Linked DNA regions of Ovis aries. The protein of the gene in region 1 interacts with the protein of each later gene in a biochemical or structural test. Links are inferred from orthologs where the notes say so. Each region holds a gene or a part of one and is shown on either strand. Other genes may lie near its edges. The genes, in order: MSN, LRRK2, ICAM3 and SPN.

What was found.
Region 2: of the proteins of MSN (region 1) and LRRK2, one has a biochemical effect on the other in vitro, tested with the Homo sapiens proteins (9 studies listed by IntAct). The link is inferred for Ovis aries from reciprocal best matches to the Homo sapiens genes MSN and LRRK2.
Region 3: the proteins of MSN (region 1) and ICAM3 form a complex in vitro, tested with the Homo sapiens proteins (2 studies listed by BioGRID). The link is inferred for Ovis aries from reciprocal best matches to the Homo sapiens genes MSN and ICAM3.
Region 4: the proteins of MSN (region 1) and SPN form a complex in vitro, tested with the Homo sapiens proteins (2 studies listed by BioGRID). The link is inferred for Ovis aries from reciprocal best matches to the Homo sapiens genes MSN and SPN.

What each region holds. Positions count from the first base shown.
Region 1 is NC_056080.1:48,036,982-48,040,546, forward strand, and holds part of MSN (moesin), read left to right. Parts: coding exon 1-98; intron 99-1,408; coding exon 1,409-1,492; intron 1,493-2,197; coding exon 2,198-2,344; intron 2,345-3,565. UniProt on the Homo sapiens protein: Ezrin-radixin-moesin (ERM) family protein that connects the actin cytoskeleton to the plasma membrane and thereby regulates the structure and function of specific domains of the cell cortex.
Region 2 is NC_056056.1:146,886,433-146,889,997, reverse strand, and holds part of LRRK2 (leucine-rich repeat serine/threonine-protein kinase 2), read left to right. Parts: intron 1-858; coding exon 859-1,013; intron 1,014-2,068; coding exon 2,069-2,215; intron 2,216-2,351; coding exon 2,352-2,543; intron 2,544-3,200; coding exon 3,201-3,347; intron 3,348-3,565. UniProt on the Homo sapiens protein: Serine/threonine-protein kinase which phosphorylates a broad range of proteins involved in multiple processes such as neuronal plasticity, innate immunity, autophagy, and vesicle trafficking.
Region 3 is NC_056058.1:12,721,762-12,725,762, reverse strand, and holds the start of ICAM3 (intercellular adhesion molecule 3), read left to right. Parts: upstream 1-1,172; 5' UTR 1,173-1,449; coding exon 1,450-1,531; intron 1,532-2,362; coding exon 2,363-2,629; intron 2,630-4,001. UniProt on the Homo sapiens protein: ICAM proteins are ligands for the leukocyte adhesion protein LFA-1 (integrin alpha-L/beta-2). ICAM3 is also a ligand for integrin alpha-D/beta-2. In association with integrin alpha-L/beta-2, contributes to apoptotic neutrophil phagocytosis by macrophages.
Region 4 is NC_056077.1:27,028,668-27,032,786, forward strand, and holds the start of SPN (leukosialin), read right to left. Parts: upstream 2,841-4,119; 5' UTR 2,660-2,840; intron 2,530-2,659; exon of another isoform or gene 2,400-2,529; intron 2,119-2,399; 5' UTR 2,103-2,118; coding exon 771-2,102; 3' UTR 1-770. UniProt on the Homo sapiens protein: Predominant cell surface sialoprotein of leukocytes which regulates multiple T-cell functions, including T-cell activation, proliferation, differentiation, trafficking and migration.

The DNA.
Region 1 (3,565 bases):
TTGCTGGCCTCCTATGCTGTCCAGTCCAAGTATGGTGACTTCAATAAGGAAGTCCACAAGTCTGGCTACTTGGCTGGGGACAAGTTGCTGCCACAGAGGTAAGGTGGTGTCCTGGTGATCTGCCCTGGTCAGAGTGAGCTGTGGCCCAAAGCTGATTGATTCTTATTATACAAGGGTTGCCACATCTGTCCCTCTCCACTAAGGTCTGTCTGAAGACCATGTTATGATGCTCAGACAGATATACTTGCGTATGGCACCATACTCTGTTCTTATTTCTCTGGTTCTCAAAATAAAACACTTTTTTCCCTCCTCTGTTTGCCTATTATAGAACTTCATTACTGTGGAAACAGGTGCTTATATTGAGAACCAGAGATGAATTGCTTCTCCTTGCCCCAGTTCCAATTTCTTGATCCTTTTCACTGATTTAGACTTCTTGTATCAGAGGTTCATTGGAGTGAGAAATACTTAAACCAGGGACATGGGGAGCTCAAAACAGTCTTTTAATATTGATACCCAGTATACAGAGATTTCTCCTTTTGTAAACTTCAAAACTGAACATTCTCAAATTCTAATTATTTTTATTTTAGCATCGCAACACACAGAATGAATAAGGCAGGCATAATCCTTATTTCCTGGCTAAGGAAACAGAGGTGCAGAGGTATTCACTCTGACCTGCTGAATCTCCCACAGCTCATTTGTGGCAACCTGGAACCCTAGTCTCTTGATTTTTTTTTTAACCCTACTGCATCCAATCACTATTTTATATAGGCTTTTAAATTGGAAGGAAAACTATGCTTCATTCCAGTAACCTCCATCGCAGTGGAGCTATAGCAAAATGTACAAATCACCTGAAGGTATTAGGGATAGTGGTTGTGCCCTGGCACTCTACATAAATCAGTCACTGCTATAATGTCTGAAATAGCATATTTAAAGCAAGCCTTGTTTATGATCTAGTAGATCTGAGAGTTATTGTTATGATATAATTACAACTGGGCCCATTTTACAGATAATAACAGTTGAACCTGTTAGTTTTTTCCCTAAACCATTTGAACTCAGTTCTCACTTCCATAGCCACAGGCTATATCTTATCCCTGAGCAGTAGTCTCACAAATGCAAACTATTGGCCCCACAGAGATCTAGGAGAGAGTATGCATGCCTCCATGAGGCCAATTTCTCCTCTTAGTCTCACAAATCAGCACAGTTGATATGTTACTGCTTTGCTTGATGACCACAGCACCTTATTGGATTTTTCTGGTTAAAGGTACAAAGGAAGATGTTCCCACTGTCCTTCTTGGTCACCCATTCTGTATGTCTCATACCCCTCAGGCACTTCCCTGTGTCTAGTTAATACCTCCTGCTATAATTTCAGTCTGCTTCTGGTGTAACTAACCCCACATTGTCTTTCCAGAGTCCTGGAGCAGCACAAGCTTAACAAGGACCAGTGGGAGGAAAGGATCCAGGTGTGGCATGAGGAGCACCGGGGCATGCTCAGGTAAGCCTACCCTAGGAACTGTGGACTCTATGCCCTTGCAAGGAGAATAAGAGTTGGTTCAGTGGGGAAGAAGCAGAGGCTAGGAACACTGGAGGATGTTGGAAAGAGACAGAAATGCAGTTTACAAGATGTAATTAGAAATGGAAGGCAAATCAGCACCATTATAAAACTGTGCTTTTTGTGGATGATGGGAGCTGATAGCCCAGATCAGGGGATCCTGAGATTTCCTCCCCTAGGGAGTTTCTGAGCCACAAGGGGCCCCTCTTCAAGAATGAAATGAGGAAGGATCTTTATGAACATGGCATACCATTTGGGAGATGTCTAATTGAAGAACGAATCTTTTCATTTTGTCATCACCATCTCATTTGGGCTCTGCTAATAATGTGCCTGTGTAAGAGGCTTCTGTGATAGCTAATATGCCAGAGGTCAGCAAGAGTCAGCCTGCCTTTATTCCCCTTGGGAATCTCAGACCTTAGGCTCCTATGAACATGTTTTGGCAGAAGTCACGTTTTGCTGTGTTAACCATCATCTGCTCACCTTCCATCCTCTTTTCAACCCCTTTTGGCAAGATTCTTGTCAGAAGTGGAGAGCAAGTAGGCTTTCTGTCTCCCTGGGTCTGATTCATAGGCTCCCTCCCCTTATTACTTGCCTCTTCTGCCCCCCGCGACCCCACCCCCCGCCACTGACTTCCATTCTGTTGTTTAGGGAGGATGCTGTCCTGGAGTATCTGAAGATTGCCCAGGATCTGGAGATGTATGGTGTGAACTACTTTAACATCAAGAACAAGAAAGGCTCAGAGCTATGGCTGGGGGTGGATGCCCTGGGTCTCAACATCTATGAGCAGAATGACAGGTATAGTTCAGAGCTCGCTTTTTAACTTTTTATTTTGTATTAGGGTATAACCAATTAACAAACAATGTTGTGATACTTTCAAGTGAGCAGTGAAGGGAATCAGCCATATATGTACATGTATTTATTCTCCCCCAAACTCCTTTCCTATCCAGGATGCCACATAACATTGAGCAGAGCTCCATGTTCCATACAGTAGGTCCTTGTTTGTTATCCATTTCAAACATAGCAGCATGTATATGTCCATGCCAAACTCCCTAACTATCCCTCCCCCCTGTCCTTCCCCTCTAAGAACCATAAGTTCCTTTTCTAAGTCTGAATCTATTTCTGTTTTGTAAGTAAGTTCATTTGTATTATTTCTTTTTAGATTCCACATATAAAAGATATCACATGATATTGCTCAGCTTGCTTACTTTTTTGGGCTACTTTGACACCTAGGACTTGACAAAGTATGATTTTACTTCCTGGGTCCCACCTGTATCATTCTTTTTCTACGTAGATTAGACCAGCCCAGATGATCACACAACCTCCCTCAAGCCTCTGAATCTTGGCATTGACTAGACTTTCACTGTCCACTGTGATATCTTCTGGCCACATGTAGCTGTTGAGCACTTGAAATGTGGCTGGTCTGAATTGAGATGTGCTATAAGTATAAACTACATTGAAGACTTAGTGTGAAAAAACAATATAAAATGTCTCATTAATGCATTTTTAATATTCATTTATATCTTCATGAATATTTACATGTTCAAAATACATGATAGGATTTTGCATATACTGGTTTAAGTGAACTGTTGTTATAGTTAATTCCACTCTGTTTCTTTTTACTTACATGTGGCTACTAGAAAATTTTAAATTGCATGTGTGATAATTTATATTTCTGTTGGATAGCACTGGTTTAAAACTCACCTTGTCAGGATTTGTAATTAATCTCACTTCATATGATGATTCAGTATTTTTTGACCTATAATCTCTCTTGCTAAAGGCTTATCTCACTAGCTTATTTTTTTCCCTTGGTTTTCTCTTGATGAGTATAAAGATCAATATATTATTGTTTTGTGTAATTTCTGAGTCTTGGAACTCATTATTTACTGTCCTCTTAGATTTTACAACCTTGAGTAGAAGAAATCCAGTGAAGTAAGGCTGGTGATTCTTTGAGAGATTGTTACAAGGTCCATGCCTCAACAAAAAATAAAGCAAACCTTAGTTGTTGGGACAAGGGAT
Region 2 (3,565 bases), on another chromosome or scaffold:
GCTAAAACTTAAAAATTTAATTACTCTATGGAAATTTACCATATATTCTTTTAGTTGTGAAAGTAACTTTGGTCTATGATGAATGTGCTAATTTTTTCCTTCTTGTGTAAACTTTGTACTGGAGTATAGCATTTTCTTTTGGTGAAGACTACATTTGACATTTTAAAGATGTAAATGATTTTATATATATAATTATTATTTGATTTGACAATGCTCAGTTTATTTAAGAAAGGTTAATAGTGGAGATTAGAGAGTGTTTGTGTTGCTGTGTGTGTATGTATGTTCCTCATATGATATTGAAGGAGTTATTAGGCAGATTCTGGAGAAATGGTGATTTTTCAACAGAGTCTTTAAATAATTTATGACTGTGAATTTTCAGAGGATATGGCCAACACAAGGAGTCCTAAATTCTAGCACTGTGTTGTAGAAATTTTTCTTACTGCCTTATAAAACCTGGGAAATGTTATAAAGTAAATGACATTGAAAAGTACAAATTGCAATGATTGATGGATGGTAACTAATTCTAAACACAGATATACACTTGATTCTAGGATATACATATTTTAAAGTTTTATGTAATCCCTTTACTTATTATACATAACTATAATAATTTATTTATAATGTAAATAGGATTACTGAAAAATCTTTATACATCACTTTATCTGAGCATGATTTGAATTGATTAACCATTAAATTTTGAAGTAGGAAGAGTATGTAGCAAAATAACATTACTAAAAAATAAAGTTGCTTAGAATATTTATCATCATCAATTCATTGATTTCAAGTAGTAAAGCACTCTGGTCAGCATGGTTGGGCGTTTTCTGAAGCTATATAATGATAGTGTGCTTTTATCTTTAGTTTGTCTGACCACAGGCCTGTAATAGAGCTTCCCCATTGTGAGAACTCTGAAATTATCATTCGACTGTATGAAATGCCTTATTTTCCAATGGGCTTTTGGTCAAGATTAATCAATCGGTTGCTTGAAATTTCACCTTACATGCTTTCAGGAAGAGGTATGTATTTAATGAAGAATTAATATTTGGAGAAGATAGTTAGAAAGCATATTAAAATTAATATGTCATTTTCCTAGAGTTTACTGGCTTGTAATGCAGCTGAAAATCAGGAAATAAGCTCAAAAGACCTCAGCATGGCCAATATAAAAATATACACAGATAAATTCATGAAATTTGTTAAGAATAAAATTCCTCAAAGTCCACGTGTACTTATTTTAGGCACATTTACAATGTGTATGAATATCTTGCTTTGCAAGCCAAAGCAGACTAGAAGCAGCAGTTTTAAAAGATGAAATTACAGAGTCACTGGCGTAAAAACACCTATCTCCCTGCACGTACACACAAATACGCATGCACGCGTGGAGAAATTAAAAACTAGAAATGACCACCCCCTCAGTCAGGGAGTTTTGTTTAATAGAGTAACAGGTCCTAACCATTCTCTGTGGGGACTACAATAGCTCTATTCTGCTGCATGGTCCCTGAGAGGTTTACAAAAAAGAATAAAGACTTTATCTTGCTATAATTATAAATGACAATGCTAGATCTTCCTCCTGGAAGAAAGAGAGATATTAGTGCTCCAAGGGGGAAAATATAATTTTTCTGTTTTGTGCTTAAAAGCAGCTTTATGGAGATGGTACTGTATTCTGAAATAAACCTTATCTTGCTTGCAGTTAATCAACATACAGATAGTTACATCACATCAAAGTGTTGATTTTAGCATTACCACCAACCTCTTTTTAAAAATTATGGGAACCTGTTTATGATTCTCTTTTTCATCTATTACATATGTTAAACTGCTTGACACCATCAACCTGAAATCTGTCTTAGGTAATCTACTGGGCATTTGTTTGTTTCATTTCAAAATTGAGGACAAAATATTTAATATTATATTTAACAGATAACATATCATTAACAATTCCAGTACTTTCCTTCAAAACAAATACATCTCTGTTACTGTCACTTGTAATATGTGCAGTGATTTTTTTTTTCCCCTACAGTTTATGGAACAACAAATAATTAATAGCTATATTTGGGTTCTTTTAAATTTCTTTCAGAACGAGCACTTCGCCCAAATAGAATGTACTGGCGACAAGGCATTTACTTGAATTGGTCTCCTGAAGCTTACTGCTTGGTAGGATCTGAAGTTTTAGATCATCACCCAGAGAGTTTCTTAAAAATTACAGTTCCCTCTTGTAGAAAAGGTAAGGAAATTAATTCAAAACGGAATTGTACCACTAAAGAAATCTAAACTTTTAAAAAGTTTCTATAGTTCTTTTCAATTTGTGACAGGATAAGGTTCAGCTAGGATGTTAATCAAGTTTTCTTTGGATTACATAGGCTGTATTCTTTTGGGCCAAGTTGTGGACCACATTGATTCTCTCATGGAAGAGTGGTTTCCTGGATTACTGGAGATTGATATTTGCGGTGAAGGAGAAACTCTGCTGAAGAAATGGGCATTATATAGTTTTAATGATGGTGAAGAGCATCAAAAAATATTGCTTGACAACTTGATGAAGAAAGCAGAAGAAGGTATGTATGTGTTGACGCAACTTACAAATGCTTTTAAGTGATTCTTTCAATATTTGCGAAGTGAGTTTTGAAATAAATGTAAAAATGGATTGCTCTTATTTACAAGGGATAAGTTAGAGGATACTATATTCAATTATAGTTAACAGTTCAGAAAAATATATTTATTGCCAGTAAGATCTTATACTTTAGATTCAGAAAAAATGTTGGTGTGAGAGTTTGAATACTGGCTACTGGGCAATGATATGTCATCTGTGAAGTGAGATTATTAACCAAAACTATGCCATACAATTGTTATGAAGATTAGAATAGATGATACATGGATGTAACTTAGTAATGTCAGCCATATGCTGTGTTCCATGAATGTTGTGAAAGTAAAGAATATATAATTTCCTAGTCATATATCAATAGCCTAGGCAGTTCTGAGTTCTACTTTCTAGTGAGTGAACCTAGGAATGAGTTTTTAAACTTCCAAATAGAGAGTAACTCAACTTTTAAAACATTCTCAAATTTTCTAGAGAAAAATAAGATTGGAAAGTGAACCTAAGAGTGATTGGAACGCATAGACAATATGTGATTATTTCTGTAAATCAAAAGGACAAATTTATGTACAATCTTAAAGGTTTATCTTTAAAAAAAAATGTTTTATGTACTTCTCAGGAGACCTCCTAGTAAATCCAGATCAACCAAGACTCACAATTCCAATATCTCAGATTGCTCCTGATTTGATTTTGGCTGATCTGCCTAGAAATATTATGTTGAATAATGATGAATTGGAATTTGAACAAGCTCCAGAGTTTCTCTTAGGTAACTGTTTTTGTTGGTTTGAGAATAAAAATTAGGGTATGGTTTTATAATCTAGCAAATATTCACATATAATTACATTGTCATAGTTTTTAGTATCTTCATATATTTTTGTAATTTTTTTCTTTGGGATAATATATTTTAAAGTAACGTGTTACAAATCTGGAATTTGCTTTGCTTGCACACATTTGTACTCTAGGTTTCCATCTCTGTGGAAGCAC
Region 3 (4,001 bases), on another chromosome or scaffold:
AGGAGGTCCCTCTCTGGAGCTCAGATCAGAGGCACGGGAGGCAGGTCACAGGCCTGAGAGAGGGAGCTGATGGAGTAGGAGTGCCCACCTCTCTCTCTCTCTTTCTCACTCACACACACACACACACACACACACACACACACACACACGTGTCCCTTCTCTTGGGATGAGGAGACCAGCTACCTGGAGGAAAAGGGCAAGAGGGATGAAGACAGGGATAAGAACTCAGTTGAAAGTATCCCCCTTGGCAGACGGTGGCTCAAGATTTAGCTGTCCCTGAAACGCTCCACCTCAGCACCGCATGCAAGCAATGGGAGAGCACCCGGAGATCTTCAAAGACTTGTTGTTCAGTCACTCAGTCGTGTCTGACTCTGTGACTCCTTGGACTGCAGCATGCCAGGCTCCTCTGTCCTTCCCTGTCTCCCAGAGTTGGCTCAAATTCATGTTCATTGAGTTGGTGATGCTATCTAACCACTTCATCCTCTGCCGCCCCCTTCTCCTGCCTTCAGTCTTGCCCAGCATCAAGGTCTTTTCCAATGAGTTGGCTCTTCACATTAGGTAGCCAAAGTATCGGAGCTTCAGCATCATTCCTTCCAATGAATATTCAGGGTTGATTTCCTTTAGATTGACTGGTTTGATCTCCTTGCAGTCCACGGGACTCTCAAGAGTCTTCTCCAACACCGCAGTTTGAAAGCATCAATTCTTCTGCACTCAGCCTCCTTTATGGTCCAATCCTCACATCTGTACATGACAACTGGAAACATAAGGAGCCTATAGAAGTCACTCTGGCAGCCAACAGAGAGCCCGGCACAAGTCCCCAGTAAATGTGGGCTCTGTTCACTGTCACAGTTTTACTCATCATAGGGGATCCTTCATTGTCACCCCCCCCCCAAATCGTTTATTTGCCTCCCAGGAACGTTGAGATCTCTTGTTAACTCTTTGAAGCCCTGCCCAGAAGTCTGCCCATTGTTCCCTCCTTGAAACGTCACCTCGAAATCCCACCCCTTTTCCTTCAAGGCCAGTGTGCAGATATCCCCATTAACTTCCTCTTTGGGAACAAAACAGCCTTTTTCACCTAAGTTCAACAGGAAGGGGAGATGTCTTTCACCCCTGCCCCCCTCCAGGCTTTCCAGTACTGAGAAAAAAGGAAGCTGCTTGCACTAGCGCTTCCTGTGGGTTGATCTGGGGACAAGGAGTGTAACCGAGGTTTGCCCTCTGAGACTCCTAGGAGACTCGCCAGCACGCTCCATTTTCCTGAGACCCTCACTGTGGACTCCCAGGGGGTGGCATAAAATATTCCCCTACCCTTCCCTCATCCTGGGCAAGGTGTGGCCCCTGGACTGCTGCATTCTTAGCTGCAGTGACGGTTCTTCCTTCCCCTGGAGGTCCTGCCTGTTCACCGGTGCACAGCTCTTCATTAAGGGAACTTCCGCCTCCAGGCTGAGCACCATGATGCCCTCAGGGCCACCGCCCAGGGTCTACTGGACTTCGCTCATCTTTCTGCTTCTTGCCTGCTGTCAGTTGCCCACAGGTGAGGCCCAGTGAGCTGGGGAGGGCTGGAGATGGGGGGTTGCTGGGGAGGGGAAGGAGAACAGTGCACCTCACACCCTGCTGCCCAGGGCTGCGGCAACACTTCTTTGACTCAGATCTGTCAGGGGGCTTCCCAGTATCCTTGGGGAAAAATGGTGGCTCCTTAACTCAGCCTTCAGGGCTCCCTGAGGCCAGGTTCCTGCCTTTCACTTGTTCCCTGCCCCCTTCACAGCATAGACACTTACCCACCCAAACACTCAAGTGAAAGTGAAAGTGAAGTCGCTCAGTTGTGTCCGACTCTTTGCAACCCTGTGGATTGTGGCCTACCAAGTTGCTCCAACCATGGGATTCTCCAGGCAAGAATACTGGAGTGGGTTGCCATTTCCTTCTCCAGGAGATCTTCCCAACCCAGGGATTGAACCCGGGTCTCCCGCACTGCAGGCAGACGCTTTACCATCTGAGCCACCACTCATGCCTGCACTTATTCGCTCCCTGCTCCATCCGGACTCATGACCTCTGCCTATGTTCTTCAGTCTGCCAGGATCCCTCTTGCCTTTCACTTGGCTAAATCCTCCTTGACCCTTTAAAAGAGACCGTAGTGGTTCCCTCCAGGAACCCTTTCCTGACTCACTTCCTCCTGGCCTCCTTCTCAACTCTCCTTGGTTCCTGATCCATCATCTGTCTTTCCCACTAAACTGAAACACCGCCGAAGGCAGAGACCTTCCTATCTTGGCTGGTGGGAGTGGGGGGGGGGGTGGCGTTGAAGGATGGAACCTGCAGCTGGGTGGGCTGGGGGGCACTGGAGCCCCCAGCAGAGACTCTGTTCATGCAGGTGCCCAGGGACAGACGTACCAGTTACGAGTGGAACCGAAGGACCCAGTGGTGCCTTTTGGAAAGCCCCTTGTGGTAAACTGCAGCTTAGATTGCCCCAGCCCTGGATTAATCTCCCTGGAGACAGCCCTCTCCAAGGAGCACCACAGCAGGGGCCTGGGCTGGGCAGCCTTCCGCCTCACCAACGTGACTGGTGACACAGAGCTTCTCTGCTCTGGCCTCTGCGATAAGTCCCAGGTGGTGGGTTTCTCTAAAATCACAGTGTATGGTGAGTAGGCGTGGCTGGAGGTGGGATGGCCTTGGGCAGTGGTGGGGGTAGATGACCAATGGTGCAGAGGAGCAAGGTGGGGCTGGGGCCCTGAATTTGCACAAATGGACCAGGACACTCAGTCAGAGCTCAGAACTGGGGGTGTGTGTGTGAGAGAGAGAGAGAGACAAAGTCAGAGATAGAGGGGTACATCTCAACTGCATGCCAAAGCAGCAGCTGTGAAACCAACTCCTTTGGTTCTCAATAAGCATTTTGTATGTGTGCATGCATGCTAAGTTGCCTCAGTCATGTCCAACTCTTTGTGATCCCATGGACTGTAGCCCGCCAGGCTCCTCTGTCCATGGGATTCTCCAGACAAGAGTACTGGAGTGGGTTGCTGTGCTCTCCTCCAGGGGAATCTTCCTGACCCAGGGATCCAACCTGCATTTCTTGAGTCTCTGGTATTGGCAGGTGGGTTCTTTACCACTAGTGCCACCTGGGAAGCCCAATAAGCATTTTAAAAATGATAGTTCAGGAATTCCTTGGTGGTCCAGTGGTTAGGACTCCAGGCTTTCACTGCCAAGGGCCTGGGTTCAATCTCTAGTCAAGGAACTAAAACCATGGAACACTCTCAGTATGGCCAAAAAAAAGGACATGTCTTTTACTCAATTTTTAAAATTTATTTTAATATAGTTATTTATTTATCTTGTTTGGCTGTTAGGTCTTAGTTGCAGCCCACGGGATCTTTCTTCGTGGTGCACAGACTCTAACTGTGGCACGTGGGCTTCAGCAGTTGTGACATGCGGGCTCTGGAGCGCATGTGGCTCTCGGGCTTCGTTGCTCTGTGGCATAGGGAATTTTAGTTCCCCAACCAGGGATTGACCTCGTGTCCCCTGAATTGCAAGGCAGATTCTTAACCACTGGACTACCAAGGAAGTCCCTACTTTTTCTTTTTTGTGTGTGTATTTACTTATTTATTTGGCTGCACTGGGTCTTAGTTGTGGCAGGCAGGAGGTAGGACCTAGTTCCCTGACCGGGGATTGAACCCCTGTGCATTGGGAGGATGGAGTCTTAGCCACTGGACCACCAGGGAAATCCCTTACTGCTTTTATTTTTATGACAGGTAATAAATTCATGTGGTTCCCAAATTTTAAAGTATTTAAAAAAAAGGGGGGGTCAGTGTCAAGTCTCCATTTACCTAGTGTGGGCTGTGAGTGGCTGTTGTTTTTAGTGTGGACGCATAGGTGCTCACCCAAAAGCCCTTATGAAAGCCTGGGCTGGGGAGGTACACTTATGAGCCTCATTTCACAGAGAGGAAACTGAGGCTCAGTCACTTGCCAGGGTCCGTGAGCAGAGATGCCTGGAGTCCAGGTCTCAAATCCCTGCTCTTCAC
Region 4 (4,119 bases), on another chromosome or scaffold:
TGAGTGGACCCACGCTGACGCCAAGACTTCTAAGAACTACACCTGCCCAGAAACTTCTCACCTCTGCTCTTGGGAGGAGAAACAACCGAAGCCTCTGGCCGCCTCCATCCAGAGTTGGGGGGAGTGTGGCAGCTGGGACCATGGGCCAGTCTAGGGGCCTGGGGCTGTCACAGATACACTGAAAGCACCCCAAGGTGACGCCATCCAGCCCATGCTCTGGGCCAGCCTGGCACAGACCAGTGGCACCCAGAGTTACAGGCAATTCATGGGCTAATCCACTACAAATGTCCCAATCCATGGGGCCATTATGTACTTTCCAGAGTAATCCTGAAGTGGGAGGTTGCTGGGTTGCCAATTCCTTCTTCCCTGATATTTGTGGGGAATCAGCTGAGAAATCATCAATCCAGGAAGTCTGGCATTTCCAGAGACTCGGCAGCTAGTTTCAAGGACCAAAATGTGAAGAAAATGTGATGGGGAGAAGTAGGGGTTGATGAGGAAGTTTCATTTGTTCCATCTGCAAGTGTTCAGTGGGTGTAGGCCCTGGTCTGGGTGCTGGGGGTGGATGCTGGGTGAATGCTGGCTAGAAGAGCCAGGGTTAAGAAGCTGAATGAAGATTGAGGGTGAAGATGCTGTATTAAAATCCAAAAAGCGCTGGGTGAAAATGCTGGGTGACGGATGAGGAGGCTGGATATCAACCTCTTGGTGATGATGGGAGGGAAGGTGATAAAAGCAGGAATGGTTCTAAACTCTAGCCTTGAGATTCTTGAGCATTAAGGGGTCTCCACCTCTCTCACTTCTGGCCCATTAGAAGTAGGGGCCTCTGCACCCTCATCCTCTTTGCACACCAGCGGCTCCTCTTCCCCCTTTAAGCTGGAGGCTGCCCCTGCCTTTAGCTCCTCCAGCGCCATGGAGCCCTGGCGAGACTTCCGTCTACCAAAGAAAGTGGTGAGTGTGGGTCGCTGGCCAGAGCCCTCCCTGCGGGGGCCATCAGAGTCATTGTTCCCCCCAGACGCTCCCTCTGTCGCTGTCATGGCCTCCTCATCAGACACCCGGGCGACCCCAGCCCAGGCATCTACCACCCCGTTGCGTTTTCCACTTCTGCTCAGTGTCAGGACTCCCGTCTTCCGCTTCTGCCGCCGGAACCACAACAGGGCTGATGCCACGAGGACAACGACCACCAGCAGGGCCACGAGCACAACCACCAGCAGGGTGCCGTTTGTCCCCTGAGCTGGAATTAGTTTGTCCCTCCTGCTTATGTTTGCGGAGGTATTTGGGCTGGATGTTGTTACGCCACGGCTAGTGGGGCCACTGGTCCCCATGGGAGTCTTGAGAGAGGTAGCTGGCATGGTGATCAGGAGTCCACTGGTCCCCTTGGAGGTCTTAGGAGGGCCAGTTTTCATGATGACAGGGGATCCACTGGTCATACTGATGGTCTTCAGAGAGCTTGTTGCCATGGTGACAGGAGGTCTGCTGGTCCCACCAGAGATCTCCAGAGAGCTAGTTGCCATAGTTAATAGGACTTTGCTGGTCTCACTGGAGGTCTCCAGAGGGCTAGTTGCCATGGTGACAGGGGTTCCACTGGTCCCATTGGAGGTCTCCAGAGGGTTAGTTGCCATGGTGACAGGGGTTCCACTGGTCCCATTGGAGGTATCCAGAGGGCTAGTTGCCATGGTTTCACCAGTCATAGTAGGGAGTCCTGTAGGTTTCATTACTGAGACACCAGGTATGCTGGGGGTATCAGAGATTTTCATGGGCATTGTTGACTTCTCGGTTGAATCTTCCTGGGATATTGTTGACTCAGATACAGGACTGTCCCTGCTGGCAGCAGGGGAAGTTTCAAGAGAGGACACCACATTGGGTATATAGGAAGGTGGGAAGGTCTGGTGCTCAAGGTTATCACTCATCTTAGAGACCTTGTTTGTTGTAAGACTGGTAGTCACTGAGTTGACTGTTGGCTTCCCAGAGACCGAAGAAGAAAGAAAGTCTGTTGTGGGTTTAGATATCCACAAAGGAGAGCTGCTTGGAGACACTTCAGCCAGGTTTTCCACCCTCATGCTCCCGAAGAGGACGAGAAGCAGGATCATTTCCAAAGCAAAAGGCATGAGCAGGAGTTGGGACCTGAGGGTGGGGAAGTTGGAGAAGTAGAGCACATAAGGATCTGTGGGTAGGGGGAGGACCGAGCCAGGCCCTCCCCTCCTGCCCACTTCCCTGCCAACTGCCGGTTCAACGGCTTTTTCCACCCTTGCTTTCACTAGTGTCAGAAATAACAAGATACTGGCTGCACCCCCATCAACTCTATCCCTCAGGACCCCTCGGCGCGCTGTAGCCATTGCCATCCCATCCTGCCCTGCCCTGACCGCATGCAGCTCCGATGGCTCCTCGTCCTTTTTTCCCATTACCTGGCAAGGTCTTCTCAAGCCAGAGGCACATTCCCAGGTCCACCGAGGCCCCTGCCCCACCACGTCCCGCTGCTTACCAGCTCACTTGAAAAGGGCACAGGGCTGCGACCAGGCTGCTCCAACTCCTCCTGAAGCTGGGGCAAGACTGGCGGTCAGGGGCCCCAAGGGGAAAGGAAGTGGCCCTGGCTCCACCCACTCCAGCATCCTGCCCCACCCTCCCCGCTCCTACATTGCCCTGTGATGAGAGAGGCATCACTCACTTTTTGAGGGTCCCAGGTGATGACAGGGGCTCTGAGGTCTCAGCTACAGCAGGTGGGGATGGTGGGTGGGTTCTGGAATGGGGATTCCTAGATCTTCACTGGAAAATGGGATGGCAAGTTGGTGACTCTGGAACAGGTATAGGGGTCACAGCAGAGCTGGTGGAGATGGGTGCTTGAAAACAAAGGGGTGTGGAGGAGGAGATGGGAGGGGAAGGCGGTTTCCTTTGCCTTTGTGGTCCCCAGGCTGTTAGGTGCGCCCCCAAGGCTAGCACGTCTTCTGCCCCAGGAGCTCCCAGGAAATACCAGGGCAAGAGGAAGCCCTTGACTCTGGCTGGGGGCAGTGAGAGCCTTTGCAGGCTGCATGAAATTCCTGGTGGGCTCTGGACTTCTCAAGAAGCTGGGGGTGGTTACCACAACAGCCCCAGGCATGGACTGCCTGACTAAACCAAAGTGGTTATTGAGCACTGAATATGCAGTCCATGGGGTCACTAGGAGTCGGACACGACTGAGCGACTTCACTTTCACTTTTCACTTTCCTGCATTGGAGAAGGAAATGGCAACCCACTCCAGTGTTCTTGCCTGGAGAATCCCAGGGACGGGGGAACCTGGTGGGCTGCCGGCTCTGGGGTCGCACAGAGTTGGACACGACTGAAGCGACTTAGCAGCAGCAGCAGCAGCATGCTATGATCTTATTTTTTTAATTTTTGAAACTTTGTATTTATTTAATCACTTTTACCTGTGCTGGGTCTTTGTTGCTACACAGGCTTTTTTCTAGTTGCAGCGAGCAGGGGCTACTCTCCAGGGAGTGGTACTTGAGCTTTTCACTACGGTGGCTTCTCTTGTTGTGGAGCACGGGCTCTAGGGCACGCGGGCTTTAGTAGTTGCCACACGTGGGCTCAGTAGCTACACCTCCGGGGCTCTAGAGCACAGGCTGAATAGTTGTGGTGTATGGGCTTTAGTTGGTCCACAGCATGTGGGATCTTCCCAGATTAGGGATCAAACCTGTGCCTCCTGCATTAGCAAGTGGATTCTTTACCACTGAGCCACCAGGAAAGCACCCTCCTTTTTTTCATTTTAATTGGAGGATAATTGCTTTACAATGTCACGTTGCATTCTGCTGTACAACAACATGAATCAGCTATTAAGTATACATATATCCCCTCACTCTTGAGCCCCCTCCCATTATGCTATAATCTTATTTTTGCAAAAGACTAATAAAAATGTGGGAATCTACATGGAAGACACTGAAAAGATATCTACAGAGGGATTAACAAATTTGTTGGGTAGGAATGAGCAGAGTTCTCTATTTTCTTCTTTGGGTGGTTGCTGTTTTTTCACTTTCCTTGACTTTTGGTATATATATATGATTTTTTTTCTTTTTTTACCTTTCTTTTTTTAAAAAATCAAAACTGGTATTTATGTTGTGCTCAATCACTCAGTCCTGTCCAACTCTTTATGAC